3 linked regions of the Danio rerio genome follow. The protein of the gene in region 2 purifies or fractionates together with the protein of the main gene of each other region. This does not show direct contact. Links are inferred from orthologs where the notes say so. Each region holds a gene or a part of one and is shown on either strand. Other genes may lie near its edges. The genes, in order: sertad4, ppp2r2d and ier5.

Evidence for each region.
Region 1: the proteins of ppp2r2d (region 2) and sertad4 purify together in Homo sapiens (affinity purification with mass spectrometry; 3 studies listed by BioGRID and IntAct, counting the BioPlex papers as one, with this or other methods). This does not show direct contact. The link is inferred for Danio rerio from reciprocal best matches to the Homo sapiens genes PPP2R2D and SERTAD4.
Region 3: the proteins of ppp2r2d (region 2) and ier5 purify together in Homo sapiens (affinity purification with mass spectrometry; 3 studies listed by BioGRID and IntAct, counting the BioPlex papers as one, with this or other methods). This does not show direct contact. The link is inferred for Danio rerio from reciprocal best matches to the Homo sapiens genes PPP2R2D and IER5.

The regions. Positions count from the first base shown.
Region 1 is NC_133188.1:35,234,639-35,238,397, reverse strand, and holds the start of sertad4 (SERTA domain-containing protein 4), read left to right. Parts: upstream 1-1,068; 5' UTR 1,069-1,555; intron 1,556-3,759.
Region 2 is NC_133187.1:43,833,758-43,837,516, reverse strand, and holds the start of ppp2r2d (serine/threonine-protein phosphatase 2A 55 kDa regulatory subunit B delta isoform), read left to right. Parts: upstream 1-1,554; 5' UTR 1,555-1,705; coding exon 1,706-1,712; intron 1,713-1,932; coding exon 1,933-2,007; intron 2,008-3,759. UniProt on the Homo sapiens protein: Substrate-recognition subunit of protein phosphatase 2A (PP2A) that plays a key role in cell cycle by controlling mitosis entry and exit. Involved in chromosome clustering during late mitosis by mediating dephosphorylation of MKI67.
Region 3 is NC_133197.1:16,200,889-16,204,106, forward strand, and holds ier5 (immediate early response gene 5 protein), read left to right. Parts: upstream 1-1,173; 5' UTR 1,174-1,367; coding exon 1,368-2,180; 3' UTR 2,181-2,657; downstream 2,658-3,218. UniProt on the Homo sapiens protein: Plays a role as a transcription factor. Mediates positive transcriptional regulation of several chaperone genes during the heat shock response in a HSF1-dependent manner. Mediates negative transcriptional regulation of CDC25B expression.

The sequences.
Region 1 (3,759 bases), on a different chromosome or scaffold from region 2:
AGTTTCTCTGTGAAGCCCCCAGTCACCTGGAAAACTATTTCAACACAGGGCTGCTTTTCACACAAGAAAATAAATGACGGACTCTGGCACAGAAGTGAATGTCTGCTTTTAACTAGAAACAGGGTGTGTTTTTTGGAACCTGAAGTCAGAGGAAAACTGAGCAAGAAAAAAGCCTTTGTCTCTGTGTGTGTCTGTGCACGCTTGTTCTTGTGAGGATGCGTTGCTAAAAATGTCCTTAAAAATAAGGTGAAGCTAAAAAATATATTCAGAAAATCTGCCAAATAAAATGTACCATAAAATTAACTAAATATTTAGTTGAATTCTAAACTTTTTTTAAAACAGTAAGTGTTTTTATATCACAATAAAAGATGCACATACAAATATAAATATACATTTTAATAGGATAACAACAATAATTAAATTACATTGTGTCACTTGTAATCTCACGTGTCTAAACTACACACTAAAAACGCTGAGTTGAGCCTGTTTAGGTCATTTTGTGGGTTGGTTTTAGTTTTGGGGTTGTTATGCTAATTGTTCAGCATTTGTTTCACTATACTAATGATATCTGAAATTGTCCTCAAAACTGTTAAAAATAATAAAAACTAGACATACAGCAAGCAAATATATAGTAAAACTTGCTAAACAGACTTGTAATTAATATCAGTTAGTTATTTAATAATACATTATTAAATAAAAGTACAAATAAATAACTAAAATAATACAGTGCATCATTTATAAATAACATTAAATTAAATGCAAGAATCCCACATGCCACCCACATTGAGTTTCTAACGGGTGCGTTTAGCAAAAGAAAAACACAAGTCTATGGGTCTTTACTGTAACGTTATAGGTGCGCGTGACAGAACAGGGGGTTATGGCGGGACCTGAACTGCAGCCAGAGAGCCAAAACCCACTCACTCCACCTCTTCTATAGGGAAGACCAGAGAAAAGCGCTCCTGAAAAGGGAAATGTCTAACAGATGATTGGCCTCGTGCCCGCCCGCTCCACTTCTCCTGCGCGCTCCCGGTGCAAGTTAAACGCAGCTCTTCTGCTCTGACCAAAACCAGACGCGCACACAAACACACACGCAAACCGCCGAGGAGGCACTGCTGCTGGGACGAGACTGATCCGGAGCAAAAAGCTGTTTTCTGTTTGTTTCAAGGAATGGGGCGACGCTGCTCGTGTCCATTGACGTTAACGACTCCCGTTGAAAGGAAACGCTGCGACGTTGCACCGTCTGCCGGTGAGGTCACTGAGGCACAAAGCGACGCGACCTGCGCGGACACGCAGCCGAGATTCCGTCACATCACAGCGGCTTTGTTCACACTGTGACTGACTGACTGCTCGTCTTTGGATGATACTTTCCCCGTCGAAACCCTATCGATTTCTGCAAGTCGGCGAGGCTCGCGCTGATGGATCGTGGATAAGTAGTTATTGATGAAGCCAGCGGGACCACAGGAGCGGAACGAGAGGGAAAACAGAGAGCGACACGACTGATTGCGCTTCAGATATAAACATCACATCTCTGATTTAGTCAACTCGTGTGGTAAAGGTAAGCAAGAATAATAAAACATTACTCAGACGAATATCAGAATGAGTTACACGCCAGCAGCCTCCTGAGGCAGACAGACATGGCACCGTGCCAACACTGAGCAACTATACTCGTATGATCTTTTAAGGGTTCAGCCACAAGGGTACACACAGATTACTGCATTTCACTGCAAGTTTTACAGATGAAATTGGCATATGTGCTATAAAAAATGCACAAGGTGAGGTCAGTGCATTACATCCTGAAGTCACAATGTGTGATTATTTTTTTTAAAGTAGTTTGTTTAAAGGTCATGATGTCTGTTTTTATTATTTATAAATAAAATAATGAATAATTAAAATGCTATATATTTCATTTTTCATAATATTAAAAAACACGATAGTATCTTTGTCACATTTCAATTAAAGTTCATTTACTGGTGAGTTGTATTAAAGGGTCCTGCAAATAAATGTTTTTAAGTCAGAAAATCATGTTATTGTTTATATATTCATATTTTATTTTCATTATTTATCAAATGTTTATTTAATCTGGTCTCTTTAGAACATTTTAATATTTTTTTGTTTAATTTTGCATTGTATTGTAAATGAATCTTTTAAATATTTTTATTTACTAAATTCTATACATTTCTAAAAAAAAATTAAATCCATATTCAACTTTTAGATTTATGTTTAAATTAATTTCTCATTTCCTCAATTTGTTAATAGTTTGTTAAACTGAGCCCAAATACACTTTGAATCTCTAAAGAAACTAATGTCAGTAAGGTCACACAAATACACCGTTCCTTTCACTCATCAAAACACTCAAGCTCTTTCCCTCTCTCTTTGTGAGTGCGTGTGCGTGCTGTAAGGGCAGGGAGCTGTTACAGCTTGATTCCCTTACAAGGAGATGAATTGTACAAGATGAAAGCACAATAAGTTAATAGTTAGACACAGAGTGTGAATATTTGTCCTCATGAATGCGCAATTACTGCTGCACAGGAGAATTGAGCTGTGGTGTCTGCGTAGTGCAAGTCTGGAGACAATTTGTGTGTGTGAGGCTATTGTTGTTGTGTAAGAGAGCGGCGCTGTTGTACGTGGTATGTGTGTGTTAGTGGGATTATTTCTTGCTTCATTATCAAGTGATGGGTTCACTGCGCTGGCTGTGGCATCTGTTCCTGGTGCCGGGGGGCAGGAGTATGTATGTGTGTGTGCTTGTGGGTATTCCCCCTGAGATCACTGTGCCAGTTTAAGAGTGTCTGGCATACCGCCACGCATTGATCCCTCCATCTACAGCAGGCACAAAGGAAAACCCACGCAATCGTTTACCGCCTGTGGTTCTCATCAGTCCGTTCCAGTCATTTGTGTCTGGGCACGGTGAGGATTTACTTCAAGAGACTTGTGAGGAGTCTGCGGGCTGCTTGTAATCATCTAAAACTTCAACTAAAAGGGCCGTTTCAGAATGCTGTGGTTTGGGAGGGACACACACAGCACATCCTGTACTGATCATCTTCCTGTCAAACCTTCAATCACACTCTGGAGTGACTCACCTCATTCAGACACCCACAACATAAACTGCAGATGCACATTAGATACTGTATGTGGTGAGAACTGTACTGTCAGCAAATTATGGTGTGTGCTGCACAATCTGATCGAAGGTACTTTTATATAAGTAGGTTCTTGTGTAGTTGTTGAGTAACACTCCTCATTGTTCCGATTAACACAATTAATACTTTTAATAAGTATTGAGCAAGGGTAAAACAATTAAATAAAACAGTAGTAAAGTAACAATGATGTATTATAATAATATATTCATATATTATAATTAGGGTGGCACAGTGGCTCAATGGTTAGCATTTTTGCTTCAAAGCAATTGATGATTCGAGTTCCGACTGGTTCAGTTGGCATTTCTGTGTGGAGCTTGCATGTTCTCCCTGTGTTCACATGGGTTTCCCCCAGGTGCTCTGATTTCCACCACAGTCCAAAGACATGCGGTATAGGTGAATTGAAAAACCTAAATTGGCCATAGTATATGAGTGTGAATGTGAGAGTGTATCGGTGTTTCCCAGAACTGAGCTGCATCTGGAATGGCTTCCACTGTGTAAAACATATGCTGGATAAGTTGGTGGTTCATGGCACTGTGGTGATCCCTGATGAATAAAGGAACTAATCAGAAGGAAATTGAATGAATGAATATTATATTTATAATAATCATTTATAATGCTATAGAAA
Region 2 (3,759 bases):
TGTTTGCTGGTAAAAGTTAGTTAATTTTATGAGGAGTTTATTCGGAGCAAAATTACATTTCAAAATTAATGGGAGACCGTCAATTTTATTAAACCAATAATTGGGAATAAAAAATTGAATTTTATTTTTTGAATTTGATTTTTTTTTTAATTGCATAACAAGAACAATAGCATACAAAAAATGAGCAATACAATGTTTACATTTTATATGTAATATGTAAATATTTCACTTTAAAGGAACAAATCATTAGAAAAAAGAAAAAAATTAATACAAATAAAAATAAAATTACAAGGGATATAGACGTTGCAAAAAAAAAAGTATAAGAAAATGATTCCAAAATTGCATACATTCTTATAGCTTTTTTTTCTTTCTTTTGGGGTTCCAATATAATGCTCAAGATTAATTTTAAACAAATGAATATTAGACTTATCATTGGACCATTTTTGTTTGTGTATATGGTACTTCCCATATATTATTATTAAATTAATAAATAAATTTTGCTCCAAGTTTTATTATTGTTGTAAATCAAAAAACACATCTTTACAAGAAAACTAAATTTTTAATTTTGTAAGTTTAAACATTGAATTTCAACTACACTCTAAAAATATTGTTTAGACAAAACAAAACAAAAAAAATTAATTAACGCACCAGTTTGCATTACTATATTCAAGTTACAACAACATCTAACAAAATAAGGTTCAGACAACAAACTTTATTATGTTAGCCAAATCTTTTCCTCCTCAATCAGAGGCATTTTCACATAGCAAAAAACTCAGATTTTTAAGTTGAGTACTCAAAATAAGTTTTTTTAAATTAAAATTGGAAACAAATCCAGTGTTATGTACTTAATTACATGCATGTTTTCAAGTTTAGAACCTCAAATAAATTAAGTAGCTGAAATTGTTGAGTTTTTTGTTTGTTTTCGAATTTACTGTTCATGCTTGTAAGAAATACATTTAACAGCAATGTTTTTGTTAACTGGTATTTTTTTATTTGTATTAAACCACAGGTTTCCTTTTTTTCCTTTTTTTTTTTACAAAACAAAAACATGTTCTGTCCCATATTATCAGTACAAAAATAACAAAAAACATCAGTGTGTGGACTTAAAAATACAAAACAACTCCATTAGTGTGTAAAAATTGAGTTATCAACCCAATTTCGTAGGGTTGCTTTAAGTTAAATATTGTTTTAAAGTAACTGACAGATATATTTATCTTTCAATTAGCCGCATTTTTAAATTGATGTAATTATCAATGTTTATTTGTTTTGAAAACTTAATAAAGTTATTCTGGCTACTCAAAAGTTTTAATCTAATCAGCATATTAGAATTTTTAAGCTACAATAGTGTATTAAACTATGTAGTGGTAACAGACCTCTTGAGTTATTTTCTAGAGTGTTATATTAGGGATGCACTGTATGACAATCAAGGGCGTTTGGTGTTTGCGTAACTCCCACGCTGTCTGCGTAAACCTGAGCGCAGCGAGGACGCGCCGAGCGCAGGGCGCGCTTGATTAAATGACGTCACTGTGTCATGTCGACGGACAGTGTGCGCCATCTTGAATCGAAACCAAATCACGGGCAGATCCCGCTCGCGCCGATCCCGCGCGCCTCCACTCGCTCTCATTCCGCACTCGATCGCACCGTCCGGCCTCCGGAGCTCCAGGATAAGCCGCACTGAAGGCTCGAGGCACAGAAACAGGCGATGATGGCAGGTAAAGGCGCCGCGCGGGGGTTTGTGTTGGTAGGCGGGGGCGCGAGCGGCAGCAGTGCGGCCTAAACATCAAACCAGCCCCCTTAACTGACACCAAATCAAACCCACAGCCACTGCTGTATCTCGCGCGGGGCAGGGCTCGACCTCAGGGTGTTTAAATGCTCGTTGCAGGCCGAGAAGAGCATGCATTTAAATGCACTGGTGTTGTTGTGTTTTTGCAGGGGTTGGTGGAGGCAATGATTTCCAGTGGTGCTTCTCCCAGGTCAAAGGAGCCATAGATGAAGATGTTGCAGAAGGTAAATAACGGGGTACATTTGGGGTTTAAACGTACCTGTGTGAGTTTGCATGAGTGATTAGTGCATTATGGGAGTTTTGGATGGAAAAGCATGCATTGTGGGGTATGATGTGAAGAGATGGAGGCTGAGAGCTTCCATGAAAATGGCAATTGTTTTTATCAGAAAGTGTTTCTGCGGGGTTTTTTTATTTATTATTCAAGTAGTATATGGGTTGAAGACGTTTAACTGATCTTCTTGAGCTTGAAACTTGCATCGTTGTACTGTAAAATGTTTTTGGCTTTCATGTTATCGACTGCATGTGGTCTTAAAACCTAAAATCTGAATAACTAAATCAAACAGTGTCAGGAGTAATGTAGATTTGGAAAGTCACTGTCATAAAACTGCACATTTATGAGCTATTATTGATCTTTCCCCACCGCATACGATGCGTAAAAGTGCTATATCAAATAATAGTTCAGTTTAAAATAAAGTGAATCTTTATTTTAGGTATTTATAAAAAGGGCTGATGACTCATGATGCTCTCAAAGGAGTAGTCCAGTCAAATTCTCTCAAATGAGAGCGTGTCAAAATAATTATGATTGATTATATGAACATTAACTACTGAATGACTAAAATGTAGTAGATTAAATAGATTAAAGTAAATCGAATGATCCTTCGTATTGCACAGATGCATGCGTAAGTAATAAAGTGCATGATTGTGTGAATCCAAAATAAAAGCTTATTGAAGAAAAAAAAAGAATAACTCGATCAAAAATTGCTACGATTTATCAAATGTATTACAATTAATTGTTTCATAGAGATAATATTATAAAAACTGAATGGATCCTTTTCTATGAGCCGATCATGACATGTTTGATGGTCATCAGCATCTTAATCCTTTAAAGTTTTGGATATTTCGATTTTGTTTGGTATATTCAGAGTGGCTTTTTGGCATCTTTTATTGTACATCCCATCCACCAGCTTCCTATCTGAAAGATGTTTAAGCATAGTGGGTCATTCAACTTTGCAATTTGTAATGTTCAGCATGTATTTAGATATTGATGGCTTGCTTCTTTACTTGAAAGCTCAGATTGAGGTTTAATGTATCATTATTATTTACACCTTACAGATTTTCATCTACCTGTACCATTGCACACACTTAGTAACATTTATTTATCAAGTTTAAGAGTCTCTTTAACACTAATGTTTATTATAAAAAGATCAGATATTTATTTAATATTTTTGTTTTTGACTATTTAAACTATTTGCGTTAGTAATGTTGGTAAATTAAAATAAAGTGGTTAAAAAAATTCTAATATTCCTAAATGTATTGTTAAAAATGTTTAATAGTTATCGATACCGAAATGATTTGAACCATGATATCTTGATAACTTTTTTTTTGCAATATCGGCCAGCCCTATTTATAACATCCTCGTTTCGGTAGACACCGTCAAAAGGTTCAGCCCAAATGCTCCTGAGAGACCTAACATACCAATGCTACCCCAGATAGTCATGCAGTGTGAAAACATCTGTGATGCGACTACTTTGAAAATCGTGCTGTCTGAACTCGCAAAAGATTACTTTTATTGTCAACATTTCTCTCAGTTAGATATTCCCATGCAAAACATGCTGGGAACTACAAATGCCTTAAACAGGTAGTTGGATCAACACAATTACTTCATGTCAACTAGTGGTGTAACGGATCACAAATCTCACGGTACGGATCACATTACGTTTTTTTAGTCATTGGACCATTTTTCGGATCAGCTAAAA
Region 3 (3,218 bases), on a different chromosome or scaffold from region 2:
TCAAAATGGTCTATATGGACGTTGTTTTTTTTAATGAACAACAATTTAATCGCCCCTTTAAAAACAGGAGCTTAACACAACAACAGGGTGCTGATTTATGACTGATAGTAAATAATAATGCTTTCATTTTCATTTATCTGTGTGAGCTACTTCAAACAAAGCATTGCAGAATAAATTGTGCGGTAGTCATGGCTGTAATCGTTTATATATAGATAAACAGTCTTACGTCACAGCCTGCTCTTCCTGTCAGGTTTGTTTATGACCCACATCTTAATGCAGGCAGACTCACAAACCAACACGCACGGATTATTCATTTAAGAACCAGACATACACACGCAAAACGAAAGCATCGACGTGATCTTAATCTTCAATTGAGGGTAAAATCTCCCACACTGTTCGTGAGTAGCTGCTAACTGTTTCTTCAAACAAAACATTGCCCTTCCCCCCACGGGCAGCTCCATTCACATTTGCCCAGACACCGCAGTGGATTTGCACAATAGAGTCATGTGACACGACTGTAGCAGACAAACCATTACATCAGTCGAGGAAGTCAGTTGAAAAAAATTAAAGGGGAAGTAGCCTTCTTTCCCTTTTACCAGAAAACACAACGATACACTATGCGGAAACCGTGTGATGGTTATTATGTAGCGATGGATATATCTGAAATGTTAATATTTTGAAACAAAACATATTACATAAAGGGATAATTCTGGAAAACAACGTTAAATGTAAATCATGTTTTGGTATACGTGTATAGGGTCACATTTGGCTTGTTTTAGCTTCTGTTTACTTGTGAAAACGGTGTTGTGTTTCAAATATAGTTTATTTTTAACTTTCTAAACAAATACAGCCTGAAAAACACTGAGAAATATAAAAATATCCGTCTATTTTAGCTTGAAAACAATTCTTTCCCTTTAAGCAGTTCTCCCACGTTAGTATTTAAATATGACTCATAGCTGAAGCGCCCTTTCATTGGCTATCGCCTGTTTGGCGGGGTGTGATTCACAACTGTGGCAGAGCGCAACTCGCAACGCGATTGGCTAGTGTAGCCGCTGACGCCGGAGTATAAATGCGAGTTAAAAATAGAAACGGTCTCATTCCTCCCTAGACCATTGTTGGGTGCTGAAGAGAATGTGTGAGGTAATAAAATCTCCTACACTCACCCAATAACAAGATCTTGTATTTTGTATATGAGAATGAAGCCAACAAAACACGGGATTTGATCTACAGGAGGAACGGAAAAGCACTTGGACGTTGTTGTTTACTAACGGCTTTCGCGTTAACGTTTTGAAGAGAGAGGAAATCAAAGGCGAAACGCCCGGCGAACTTTGCACCGTTTGTGAACTTTAAACGTATCGATTCCAGCTATGGAATACAAAGTGGAGGCCCATCGGATTATGAGTATCTCCTTAGGGAAGATCTACAACTCACGCGTTCAGCGAGGCGGCATTAAACTGCATAAAAACCTACTGGTTTCACTGGTCCTCCGAAGCGCGCGCCAGGTCTATCTGAGTGACTACTACAGCGGCGCGTGCCTGAACGCTCAGAGTGAACGCGAAGGGAACGAGTGGGACATCACCGACTCCGAGCGGGAGAAATTCCCTCCCTCTACAACGGAATGTGACCGAGTAGAGAGCCCTGAGGAACCTCAACTCACCGAACAGCCCGAGGCGAGCGAGAAAGAGCGGGAATATCGCGAAAACGACGCTGAGAAATCAGAACGAGTGGATTGTACTTCCACTTCTGAGCAAGAAAGCAACCAAAACTCTTCTTTAGACTCGGTTTCAACGGAAACCACTACGGAGAGTCCCTCAGACACTACAGTAGCGGAACGCGACTCAACGCCTGTGGTGGTGAACGGGGAATCACATCAACCACCCAAAACGCATGTTTGTTCTTCAAACAGGAAAAGAAGCGCAGAGGAGTCAGAAAGTGGCGATGCGCCTCAAAAAAGGACCAAAGTTGCTTCCTCAAACACGAAGGAAGACGAGGAAGAAGCCGAGGAGATGGACACGGGGAACGTCTCCAACCTCATAACAATATTTGGTTCCAGTTTCTCAGGACTTCTCAGCAAAGATGGCACCAAACCTGAGGCCGAGGCAGAGGAAAGCGGTCAAATCTGCTGCGACCAAATGTTGAAAAACCTAAACCCATGGAGTACAGCAATTGTAGCTTTCTAACTGTATCGTACTGTACTTCTCATAACACGTGGTCAGGCCTGGGCTTCAACAACGTACTATGGGGGACTTCCCAGAAAGCATGCGTGGTGGTGCCACCAGAAGCACAAGCTCGTTTTGGCCTGGACTTGCCTTTCTTCTAGTGAAGGAACTATTTGAATGCTGGTGCTACTCTTTGGGATTAACAGTTCTTGAAGTGTTGAACTCTCAAAAGCCATGTGAGCGAATGGTATTACAACAATATGCAAACGTGTCATGAAGGGTCAATATTACATTGTCGCTGAAACAATTCAGGGTCGATCAACTTGACTGTACGAGGGTCAGGCCACTGTTTTTAACGTCTTTGTTTTATAAAGACCTGTACATTTTGTAATATCCGAGTGTGTGTATATATTGTCGCCAATGTCGCATTCTGAATCTATGTATTTTGGTATCATGACAATTTACGTGGAGCTCACGTATTAAAAAAATGTGAAATTACCATATTGTTTCTGTCCTTTATGTTCATGAATATTCAAAACTAATGTAATGATGTCAGCTTTTAATTTATATTTAAATATAAAAAAATTCCAGCTTAGGGGTAGGCCGATAATTGATGATATATCAAATCGTGATAAAATTTACATCAGTAACCGATAAACTCTGGACTTTTTTACTCTATATTGATCTAAGAGCCAATCACACAGCAGAAACGTCCTACAATGGGAATCTAAAATTGAGATGTACCAAATTTTTGGCCACCGAATATTTATCGGACGAAAATGTTATGCAATTTGGACCTTCTAATTGTTGTGGCTTCTGTCATTGTTTTAAATCTGCAAGTATTACCAACTTCTATCAAAATATATATCTCGTTATCGTTAAATATGGAAAATAATTGTCAAGATTACATTTTTGCCATATCGCCCAGCCCTACTCCAGGTTCCCACTGAACAAAGCTTAATATAATTTTGTATCCATCACCTGCAGATCTAACAGATAATCTAATCTTTTGGGGTTAATTTGAATCTAACAACTATAAATTGAGGATTAGTACGAAAA